Linked DNA regions of Callithrix jacchus. The protein of the gene in region 3 purifies or fractionates together with the protein of the main gene of each other region. This does not show direct contact. Links are inferred from orthologs where the notes say so. Each region holds a gene or a part of one and is shown on either strand. Other genes may lie near its edges.

Evidence for each region.
Region 1: the proteins of MAP2K2 (region 3) and KSR2 purify together in Homo sapiens (affinity purification with mass spectrometry; 3 studies listed by BioGRID and IntAct, with this or other methods). This does not show direct contact. The link is inferred for Callithrix jacchus from reciprocal best matches to the Homo sapiens genes MAP2K2 and KSR2.
Region 2: the proteins of MAP2K2 (region 3) and KSR1 purify together in Homo sapiens (affinity purification with mass spectrometry; 4 studies listed by BioGRID and IntAct, with this or other methods). This does not show direct contact. The link is inferred for Callithrix jacchus from reciprocal best matches to the Homo sapiens genes MAP2K2 and KSR1.

The regions. Positions count from the first base shown.
Region 1 is NC_133510.1:120,814,161-120,817,807, reverse strand, and holds part of KSR2 (kinase suppressor of Ras 2), read left to right. Parts: intron 1-2,598; coding exon 2,599-3,112; exon of another isoform or gene 3,113-3,647. UniProt on the Homo sapiens protein: Location-regulated scaffold connecting MEK to RAF. Has very low protein kinase activity and can phosphorylate MAP2K1 at several Ser and Thr residues with very low efficiency (in vitro).
Region 2 is NC_133506.1:105,807,757-105,811,312, reverse strand, and holds part of KSR1 (kinase suppressor of Ras 1), read left to right. Parts: intron 1-1,288; coding exon 1,289-1,369; intron 1,370-3,383; coding exon 3,384-3,462; 3' UTR 3,463-3,556.
Region 3 is NC_133523.1:3,866,072-3,869,818, reverse strand, and holds the start of MAP2K2 (dual specificity mitogen-activated protein kinase kinase 2), read left to right. Parts: upstream 1-942; 5' UTR 943-1,124; coding exon 1,125-1,216; intron 1,217-3,747. UniProt on the Homo sapiens protein: Catalyzes the concomitant phosphorylation of a threonine and a tyrosine residue in a Thr-Glu-Tyr sequence located in MAP kinases. Activates the ERK1 and ERK2 MAP kinases.

The DNA.
Region 1 (3,647 bases), on a different chromosome or scaffold from region 3:
AAGTGCTGGGATTACAGGTGTGAGAGCCACCATGGCTGGCCTACCACTGGATTTTTAAATTTCTTTCTCTCTGTTTTTTTTTTTTTTTGATTCAGTTTATACCAGGACTGAAAACCTCAATTTGAATTCATAACAGTGGGGATTTAAAAATGTCTGTTCTTTCTAATAAGCTATTAGAAGACTTTAAAAAAAAAAGCCCTTCCTACTTCTAGGCCTTAGCCTGTATCATTTCCCGGCCTGATGTTTTCTGTCCTTGGTGGGACGATGCCCTTCCTGTCCTTCACAGGCCAGCATGAATGTCACTTCCTTAGGAGGCTTTCCCTGATCACTCTACTAAAGTAGCCCCCCCACCCCGTATGCTTGTATTTTATTTTTAATTTCTAAAATGGAAATTTTTGATTGAAATAATTGTAGATTCACATGCAGGTGTAAGAAATAATATAGACATCCCTTCTACACTTTGCCCGGTTCTTCCCAATGGTAACATTTTGAAAACATAGTACAGGATCACCAAATACAGGATCACAGGATATTGATGTTACAATCCACCAATCTTGTTTGGATTTACCCAGCTTTATTTTCACACACGTGTGTGTGTGTGTGTGTGTGTGTGTGTGTCTGTGGGTGCATTTAGTTCTATGTATTTTTCTTTTTGAGGCAAGGTCTCACTCCGTCATCCAGGCTGGAGTGCAGTGGCACGACCAACTGCGGCTTAAGTGATCCTCCCACCTTAGCCTCCCAAGTAGCTGAGACTACAGAGTGCATCACCATGCCTGGCTGATTTTTTTACTTCCTGTACAGAGAAGGTCTTACTGTGTCACCCAGGCTGCTCTTGAACTCCTGGGCTCAAGTGATCTTACTGTCTTGTACTTTTGGTATTATTTGATCCCAAAGTGCTGGGATTACAGTCACGAGCCACCACAATGGGTCTACTTCTCTGTGATCTGATTACCTGTGTAGGTTCATGTATTTACCGCCGTCAAGATGCTGGAGAGTTCCAGCACTCCAGGGTTCCCTCGTATTGCTCTTCTCTCACCACATCCCCTTCCCTCCTACTCCCTTTTCTGCCATCCCTGACCCCTGGCAACCGTCAGTCTATCCTTTGTTTCAAAAATATTGTCATTTCAAAAATATGTATAAATGGAGTCATACAGTATGTAACCTTTTGGGGTTGGCATTTTTTGCTCAGCCTAATTATCCGGAGATTTGTCCAGGTTTTTGTATGTATCGGCACTTGGTGCCTTCTGGTTGAGCTGTGTAGCACATGGTTTGTGTGTAGAGAGAGAGCCTGTAGCCCAGGCTGGAGTGCAGGGCCGCAGTCTTGGCTCACTGCAATCTCTGCCTTCTGGGTTCAAGCAATTCTCCTATCTCAGCCTCCCCAGTAGCTGGGATTACAGGTGCATGCCACCATGCCTGGCTACTTTTTTGTATTTTTAGTAGAGACAGGGTTTCACCATGTTAACCAGGCTGGTCTCGAACTCCTCACCTCAAGTGATCTGCCCATCTCGGCCTCCCAAATTGGTGAAACTACAGGCGTGAGCCTCTGTGCCCAGTCACCCATATTTTTATCAGATCATTCTGTTTACTTCCCAGCACCAATAACCATGTGAAATCCTTTAGTGAGCATGCTTTCTTGTCTATCATGATTCTGCTTTTGCAGAATGTAAGTCCAGGAGACCAGGGTCTCGTCTGTGTTGCTTTTGTGTCTTTCTCAAGCAAAAGGGCATAGTTGGCACTCACAGAATGTTTACTGGACAAATTCATGAATGAGAACATGGCGACATAGATCTGGAAGAAGTATGCGGCGACCAATAAGTGGTCAGGGAGGGACTAAGGATGAACTTGACTGCCTTGGAATTTGTGTATCTCACATGAGGGTTAAGTATGAAAATTTCCATGTAAGGGAACAGTTATCCTTTAAAGTCCTTTAAATCACTTCGAGACTTCCGGAACTTGGATCTTGGGAAGCTCAAAAGGCAAGAATTAACTTCTTTGCTTTTCTGAGCATTTGGGCTGTGGGGTCTTCCCAGCGATGGGGCAGAGGAAGGCAAGGCTGTTGAATGGGGAATAGGGTAACAGGGTCAATTTTTGGAGGGGCCAAGTGGGGGTGGTTGGATTTATGCAAATCTGCTTATGATGTAATGTGGGCGTGACATATCCTAACATGCATATGATAGGATGTCTATATGATGTAATGGGCATATGAAATAGCATGCATATGATGTAATGTGCATATAATATGACATGCATATGATGTAATGTGCATATAATATGACATGCATATGATGTAATATGCATATGATATAATGTGCACATGATGTAATATGCATATAATGTGCATATGATGTAACATGCATTCGATGTAACAGGTATATAATTAGCAGGCCTATGATGTGATGGGCACATGGCGTAATGTGCATATGACATAATTTGCATATGAGATAACATATATACGATTTAACAGGCATATAGTGTAACATGCATATGATGCTATGGGCAGGTGGTGTAATGTGCATATGATGTGATGGTGTATATGGTGTAACTCACCTGGCTTTCTCATGGCTTACCCATTGTCTCTGCTCTTCTGTTCCAACTCAGGAGGCAACCTTTCCAAACAAGACTGGACCATCCAGTGGCCCACCACAGAGACCGGGAAGGAGAACAATCCCGTGTGTCCCCCAGAGTCCACCCCGTGGATCCGCACCCATCTCTCCCAGAGCCCTAGGGTCCCATCCAAGTGCGTCCAGCACTATTGTCACACCAGCCCCACTCCCGGGGCCCCTGTGTACACCCATGTGGAGAGGCTTACTGTGGACGCCTACCCAGGCTTGTGCCCACCCCCGCCACTGGAGTCGGGACACCGTTCCCTGCCCCCATCGCCCCGGCAGCGGCACGCAGTCCGCACCCCGCCACGGACCCCCAACATCGTCACCACCGTGACCCCACCGGGCACACCACCTATGAGGAAGAAGAACAAGCTGAAGCCTCCAGGGACCCCGCCACCCTCCTCCCGAAAGCTGATACACTTGATCCCGGGGTTCACCGCGCTGCATCGGAGCAAATCCCACGAGTTCCAGCTGGCGCACCGCGTGGACGAGGCCCATACACCCAAGTGAGTACACTCGGTGGGTGCCCTGGGGCAGTCCAGCCCTGGCCTGTGAGGGGCTGCGCCGTGGCCCCAGGAGCTGCCCAGGTCGGGGAAGCCGGGTACAGACTTGTGTTCCAGTCTCTGGTTGAATGAAGGATGGCTTTTTACAGAGGGTTCTGAGAAAATGAATAGAACAGAATTTCCCAGAACTGGCCATTTAAAAAATATGATTAATACTCTATGGCCTAGGGGCTAAATCTGATACCCGGCCTGATTTTGTAAATGAAATGTATTGGAACACACCCATGATCATTTCTTTATGTGTTGCCTATGGCTTCTTTTGTGTAACAATGGCAGAATGAGAATGGCCCACAGAGCTGAAAATATTTACCATCTGGCTTTTTACTGAAAACGTTTGCCAACCCCTGCAGAGTCTAGCCTAGGGCTGCTCCTAGAAATAGGATACGAGGCATATATTAACCTTCAACTTTCTAGTAGTCACATTAAAAAGAATGAAAAGGAACAAGTGATATTGTCATAATACGTCATTTAACCCAGT
Region 2 (3,556 bases), on a different chromosome or scaffold from region 3:
TGGCTAATTTTTGTAGGGTTCTTTTTTTTTTTTTTTGGGTGGAGATGGGGTTTCACCATGTTGGCCAGGGTGATCTCAAACTCCTGACCTCAAATGATCTGCCTGCCGTGGCCTCCCAGAGTGCTGGGATTACAGGTTTGAGTCAAAGTGGGCCTCCAGCTACACTTGAGGAGAGACCCAGCATGAGTTTTCTCTCCTGCAGAAGTCACTCACTAAAGAAGTGCTTGGTGCTTCACTGATTCAGGCCAGGTAGACGGATGGTCTGGAGGAATGACAGTGTGGGGTCAGGGAATACCATATTTCATGCAATACTGGGTTTAGTATTTTGTAGTTAGGATGGGTTGGAGTCCAGCACAAATGTGGGGTAGTGGATCGTAACCATAGAGGTGTGCGTCTTAGGCAGCCATTACTGTGCATCTGCCACACACCTGGGGAAACACAGGTAGCCAAAGCCACAGCTCCACCAGCAAGGGGTTTCCAGTGTCATAAAGACAGACATGCACTGAAATGAAACCTGCACACATCAGGACTCTTTCTTATCACCTTTATGTTCCTGGCTCCTGGTACAATCCCAGGAACATTAGAGTTGGTCACTAAATATTTGACGTGCATGAATGAATGGGCAAAGGGTGATAACATGCCAGGTGCTTTGATAAAGCCCAGACGGGGGCCTCTGCGTCCATCTGGGGGACATGAGGAAGAGTCTCTGGAAGAAGGGTCATCAGGGCTGGATTTTGAGCCCAGCAGAGACCAGGAGCATGGGACTCTTAGCAGTTCAGGGAGGGTGATGTGAGGTGGTGAGGCCAAGTTCCGATCACACCTCAGGCAACTCGCTTAACAAGCTGGGCCCTGGTTTTCTCCCTCACAAAAGAAAAGACTCCATTAGGTGGACACTGGCATTCAGGGCATCATTCCAGATTCCCTAGAAACCATACATTCCCACCTTCTCATTTCACAGGCAGGAAACTGAGTCACAGATGGGCTGTTCCCTGCCCAGCCCCTTCAAGGAAAGCATGCGAGTTTTCCTTTCCTGAGTGAGTCTGTGTCAGGCTTCCTGTTGAGTGTTCACTTTCTACATGCTTGGCCCCTAATTCTCACTTTCTCTTTTCTTTCCCATTGACCCTGTCACCTTTTTATTGTGGGGGGGTGGCGGATGTGCTGTTCTGTCATCTCCCCCTTTCCCATCATCTGATTCCTCCACCTGTCCACACGGGCCCGACTCCATCACCTGCCGGGGCCGGACTGCGCTCTTCTCACGCCTGGCGGAACGGTCGCTGGGCACTCCCAGCCGCTGGAGGAGCCGCTACTATGGAAAAGGACGCTACGGCCACCCTGACTTTAAGAGCTCCTGTCCGGTTCTGGAGGAATAGTGTGTTCCTTCCCTCTCTGGCTGCCTGTCTCTGGTTGTCCTGACACAAACCCCGCTTCCTTTCTGTTGCTGCTTCCCAGCTTCTCCCATCTTTGTATCGTTTATTCTCGAAAACCAAAGTGAGGTTTCTGCAGCTGAAATGGCCACCAGCAAGGGTTACACAGGCTTGCATTTTTCGCTGGGTGAAAGAAGAGCCACAGCATGTGGCTGGGGCCTCTGTCCATACCACGAGTAGATGGATGGCTTGTCCCTGGGTCAGAGAGAACTTGGGTCATTGATCTGAGTCCCCAGGGGCCCAGTCACCCTGGCCAGAGCTCAAGAGAAGAGAATCCAGTGAAGCAGAATTACTCCTGGAGGTAGATTTGCTCATCAAGGGCTAAGGAGCCATGGGCCTGGGCCAGCCTCTTTATTAACGTGCTGCGACTGTGCCCTGCAGGAGCTTAGAGAGGGTTCTTTGTGCCCACGCTCCCTTCTGAGGTTGCAGTGCAGCCAAGCGTGGAGGATGGAGTCCGGGATGACCCTTCTCTCTGGAAGGGAAAGGGAGTCCGCCCAGCTGCTCTGGCCCGGCCTGTAGCTCCCAGCAGGCTCCGCATGAGGCTGTGGTCCTGACGCTGTTCTTTGCTTTCTTCTCTTTCCCCCCCGTAGGTTGTAGGCCTGGCTGCCTTGCATGCACCAGGAGCTTTCTTCCTCCTAATCAACAACTCGGCATCGTGACTTCTACTAAAATGCACAATGAGATGCGGGCACTAACCCAGGGGATGCCACCTCTGCTGCTCCAGTCGTCTCTCTCGAGCCCTTCTTTTGCTTTGTTTTTAAAACTGGCCCTCTGCCCCCTCCACGTGGCCTGCGTATGCCTGAGTAACTGTTCTCAGAGGATCCCACTAACTGAGCTCCCTCCCAGGCGGTCTGGCAGCTTCTAACTACCTTCCTGGACGTGACTTTGACTGCTCCCTTGTTCTTCTGAGGGCTGGTCTTGTTTTTGTTTGGGTGGCCCTGTCTTACTGCTAACACCTTAGTGAGATGCTTCCACACCCTACCAGCCTGTGAGCACTGAGTGTGTGCCTAGTGTGGGGTGGGCGGAGGTGGGGAGGGTGTTGGCTTAGCTTTTAACCCATGGGGATTTTGTCCAACAAGGAGTGGAATGATTTCAGAGCTGCCCTGACGCCGGCACCCTGGTCACAGGAACCCTCTGCTGGGCTCTTGCCTCTCAGTCCCGTCTGTAGAGTTGCATCAGAAGACACAGAAAGTTCTGTGGCCATGAAAAACACCAGCTCGGAAGGGTTGTGTCTTCAGTGGCACCCTCAGAAAAGCTGTCTTAAAACAAAGAGGTATCTGGCTCTAAAAATGTTTCATATGAAAACAAAGTCTCTCCCCTGTCCCCACCCTGCCACCCTGGCAAAATTATTCCCTTTACACCTGCCCAGTATGCCATAGACCAGTCCCCAGGTCGGCATTTGTTAAGAGCATGGCTGATGTCCCCCGCGGCAGTCACTGAGCTGTTTACTAAACGCAAGTTCCTATCCTCCCTCCCCAGCAAAATGTGCTGAACCAGATCTCTGGAATTGGGCTCTAGGAATCTGCGTTTCAGCCTGCTTCCCAGGTGGCCCTGATGCACCCCAGTATTCGGTAGATTTCTGAAAGGAACATGTCACATCACTCCTGGTATTTTGGGGTCGTGTTTCTCTTCTCTCTCAGTTCTACTTGGAGCAAGAGCTTTCCTGGGCCGCAAATGAGAAAATGATTCCGAGGAGCCCACAGCAGCACTGAGCATGCTGGGAACTTGGGACTCGGAGATGAAAGAGCCACTGTTGCTCCAGGTAGAACTACCTGGAGTGTGGCTGGGGCCTTGGATGCCATGTGACCAGGGCAGCTCTGCCAGCGCTATTGGCCAACAATCATTTTCATTTCTTGTTGGAGGCCAGATCCTCTGCTCCGCTCATTTCCTAGCTAGTGTTACCCTAATTCTGATGAAGACCCATGGGGCTATAATTCTTGTTTTTGTTCCTCTTCACAGCATTAACAGCAGCAAAGTTGTACCCCGGTTTGAAAGGTTTGGCTTGGGCGTCCTGGAGTCCAGTAATTCAAAGATGTAGCCAGCCATGTGGTTTTTCTGCTGCTGATCTCTTTCTTTTTAAAATGCATTTCTGAAACATCCAAACCACCACCACAACAAAAAATAGACTGCCT
Region 3 (3,747 bases):
GGTTTTATGTTATGTGTATTTTATTTATTTGTTTATTTTTGAGACAGAGTCTTGCCCCGTCGTCAGGCGCCAGGGGAGTGCAGTGGCGCGATCTCGGCTCACTGCAACCTCCGCCTCCCGGGATCAAGGAATTCTCCTGCCTCAGCCCCCACCAGTCCCCCTCCCCCCCAGTAGCTGGGACTAGAGGCGCGCACCACCACGCCCGGCTAACTTTTTTTTTTTATTTTTAGTAGAGACGGGGTTTCACCATGTTGGCCAGGATGGTCTCGATCTCTTGACCTCGTGATCCACCCTCCTCGGCCTCCCAAAGTGCTGGGATTACAGGCGTGAGCCACCGCGCCCGGCCTATGTGTATTTTATAGTAAAAATGTTTTAACATGTGCATAATATATATCATTTTATTTGTCAATTAATTTTTTAAAACCACGTTAGAGCGGCCTTGCTCTGATGAAGGGGGGTGAGTAATTGACACTCAGGCGGTGGGCGCTGGGGCGAGTGTCCAGGCTCGCCACAAAGATTAAATGGACCCTGGATGGGTCTTACCCACCGTTCTGAGGTCCCACGGATTCTCTCAGTTCCAGCCTGGGAACATCGTAGGCGCTCAGGGGTCTGGCTACTCCCCTGCCCACCTGTGCACGCCCATCTCCCCCCTTCCTCTACCCTCCATCCCCTCCCCCGCGCCCCCATCTCGTGCCTCACGCGCACGCGCACCCGCGCCGTGGGAAGGCCAGCGAGTGCGCATGCTCCGCGCCGTGGGAAGGCCAGCCAGTGCGCATGCTCCGGAACCCGCCTCGCGTCGGTGTCCGCCCCTTTCCCTCCGAAAGGCGGCCTCGGGGTGCTGCGCAGGTGCAGCAGCCGGGGGGCGGGTCCTTCGCGGCTCCCGAGCCCGCTATCGCGAGAGGCCGGTGCGCGATCTTGTGGCCGCCCCTCCCCTCCCCCGGCCTCTCGGACTCCGGCTTCGGCGTCTGCCTGGATCGGGCCTCGGCGGCGGCGACTCCATCGTCTCAGCCCCGACGCCCCTCGGCTCTCCTCGGCTCCGTCCCGCAGCATCGGCCGCCCGATCCCGGCCCGTCCCCTATGGGCCCCGGATAGAGGCACCGCCGCCGCCGGCCCGCGGAGCCCCGATGCTGGCCCGGAGGAAGCCGGTGCTGCCGGCGCTCACCATCAACCCTGCCATCGCCGAGGGCCCGTCCCCCACCAGCGAGGGCGCCTCTGAGTGAGTGGGCAGCGATCTGCCGGGGGATCGGGGTGCACGGGGCAGGGGACCCTCGGGGGAGCACGGGGCGAGGGGTGCAGGGGGTTGGGGGTTCTTGGGATCGGCCGGGGGATCGGGGTGCACGAGGCAGGGAGCCCTGGGGGAAGGACAGGGCGAGGGGTGCAGGGGGTTCGCAAGGGGTGCACGGGGCAGGGGGAGGACGGGGCGAGGGGTGCAGGGGACAGGGGGTTCTCTAGGGGAGGGCAGGGCTAGGAATGCAGGGACCCCTCGAAAGAGGATGGGACGAGAGGTGCAAGGGGCTCTTGGAGGTGGACGGGGCGAGGGGTGCACGGCGCAGGGTGTCCTCGGGGAGGACTGGGCGAAGGGTGCACGGGGCAGAGGGTTTCTGGGCCAGTGATGGGACTTTGAGCAGTGAGATTGGGCGAGGGAAGGTCCTTGTGATGGAAAAGGTGGAGTGTGGGGCTCCTGGTGAGTGAAATTGGGATGAGGGAAGTCTCTGAGTAGAGAAGTTGGGGTGAAGGATGGGATCAAGGGTCCCTGAGCAGTGCGATTGGGTGAGGGAGGTCCCTGCAGTGCAGAAGATGGGGCGTGGAGCTTTTGAAAAGTGAGATTGGGGTGAGGGGAGTCCCTCAGGAGGAAAATCGGTGTGAGGGGTGTCCCTAAGAGGACAGAACAGGATAAGGGTCCCTGAGCAGTGACATCGGGATAAGCGGTGTCTCTAAGAGAGAAGAGTGTGGGGTCCCTGAGTAGTGAAATGGGGGTGAAGGGTTCCTAAGAGGAAAGAGCAGAGGAGTGCCTTAGTCATGAGATGAGGGTGAGGGGAGCCCCTGAGTAGGGAAATCGGGGTGCAAGGTGTTCCTGAGAGGGGAGGATGGGGTGAGGGTCCTTGAGGAGTGACAGCGGGGTGAGGGGAGGTCAGGCAGCCCTTGAGGAGGGAATTTGGGCAAGCGAGCTCCAGAGGAGAGCGGGTGGTGAGGGGTCCCCGAGTGATGAGACTGAGATGAGGTAGGGGTCCCAGGTAGGAGAAGATGGGGTGAGGGCCCCTCAATAATGAGGTTGGGCCAGGAGAGGTCCCTCTGGGAAAAGACCGGGCGTGGAGTCTTTGAGTAGCAGAACAGTGATGGGTCTTTGAGTAGTGAAATGGGGATGAAGGGGGAATGGGTGAGTGCTCCCTGAATAGTGAAATCTGGGAGGTGGGGGGGGTCCCTGAGTAATGAGATCCAAGTGAGGGGAGATCCCTTGGGGAAAAGATGGGGTTTGGAGTCCCTAAGTAATGAGATCAGGCCAAGGAGATGTCCTTGCAGAGAGAAGATGGGGTGCAGGGGCCCTGAGTTGTGAGATGGGGTTGAAGGGGTCCCTGGGAGGAGAGGATGGGGCAGGTACCTGCAGGGGAAAGGATGGGGTGTCCTGTGTAGTGAAGTGATAGTGAAATGAGTCCCTGTGGGGGAGAGGTGGGGTGAAGGGGTCCCTATGGGGGGAAAGACAGGGTGGGAGGGTCCCTGAGCCACGAGTCGAGAGTGTTGCACCTGGGGAGGACAGGCTTAGAGGTCTTGGGTGGGGAGTGGTCCTTCTGGGGTATGAGTCCCTGAGTGATGAGGTCGGGGTGGGGTGAGAAGGGCACCTACGGAGCCAGGGTGGTGGCAGGGGGGTGTCCCTCAGGGGAGAGGATGGGCTGAGGAGGTCCATAGAGAACCAGGAAAAAGGAAAGAGAGGGGGGATGGGGGGCTCCCAGGGATTCAGGATCAAGATATGAGGGGGGTCCTAGGGGGTCAGGATGGGGACGGGGTCTCCCAGGGGTTCAGGATCAAGATATGAGGGTGGTCCTAGGGGGTCAGGATGGGGTGGGGGGCCCTAGAGGGGTCAGGATGGAGGGGCTCTATGGGGGTCAGGGAGGGAGTTCTGGGGCATCTCAGGACAAGGGGGGTCCTAGGGGAGTCAGGACGTGGGGGCTCTAGTGGGGTGAGGATAGGAGTTCTAGGGGGTTCAGGATGGGGGGTTTTCTTTGGGGGAGTCTAGTGGGGTCAGGATAGGGGTTCTTGGGGGATCATGTGGGGGTCCTGGGGGATCCTGTTGAGGGGATTCTTGGGGGGTCAGGACAGGGGGTCCCAGGGGAGTCAGGATGGGCATCTCTGAGAGGATGTCTGCTTGTGGCGGTGCCCGGTGTGTGGAGTCCCCAAAGCTGGAAGCATGGTGAGGGGACAGGGAAGGGGGAGTGTGAGGATTGAGGAGGCGCAGGGGTGACGGGACCCTGCTGACCCCTGAAAGCAGAGGTGGAGATTCTAAAGCAAGTGGACTGGAAAACCTCGTGAGGGGCTGACCCAGTGCGGAAGCTTTGAGGAGGTGGAGGGCGAAGGCCTGGGTGAAGGAGTCTGAGAAAGAGGCACGATGCGGGGAGGGGTGCGGTGGCAGAATAGCACTGCTCCAGGATGAGGGAGGGGACTGGGTATTGTAGGTATACATTTGTGGGGTCACGCCAGGGTGACCTCTGCACTCCCGTTCTGCACGGTGGAGTGGAACAATCCCTGGGGCCC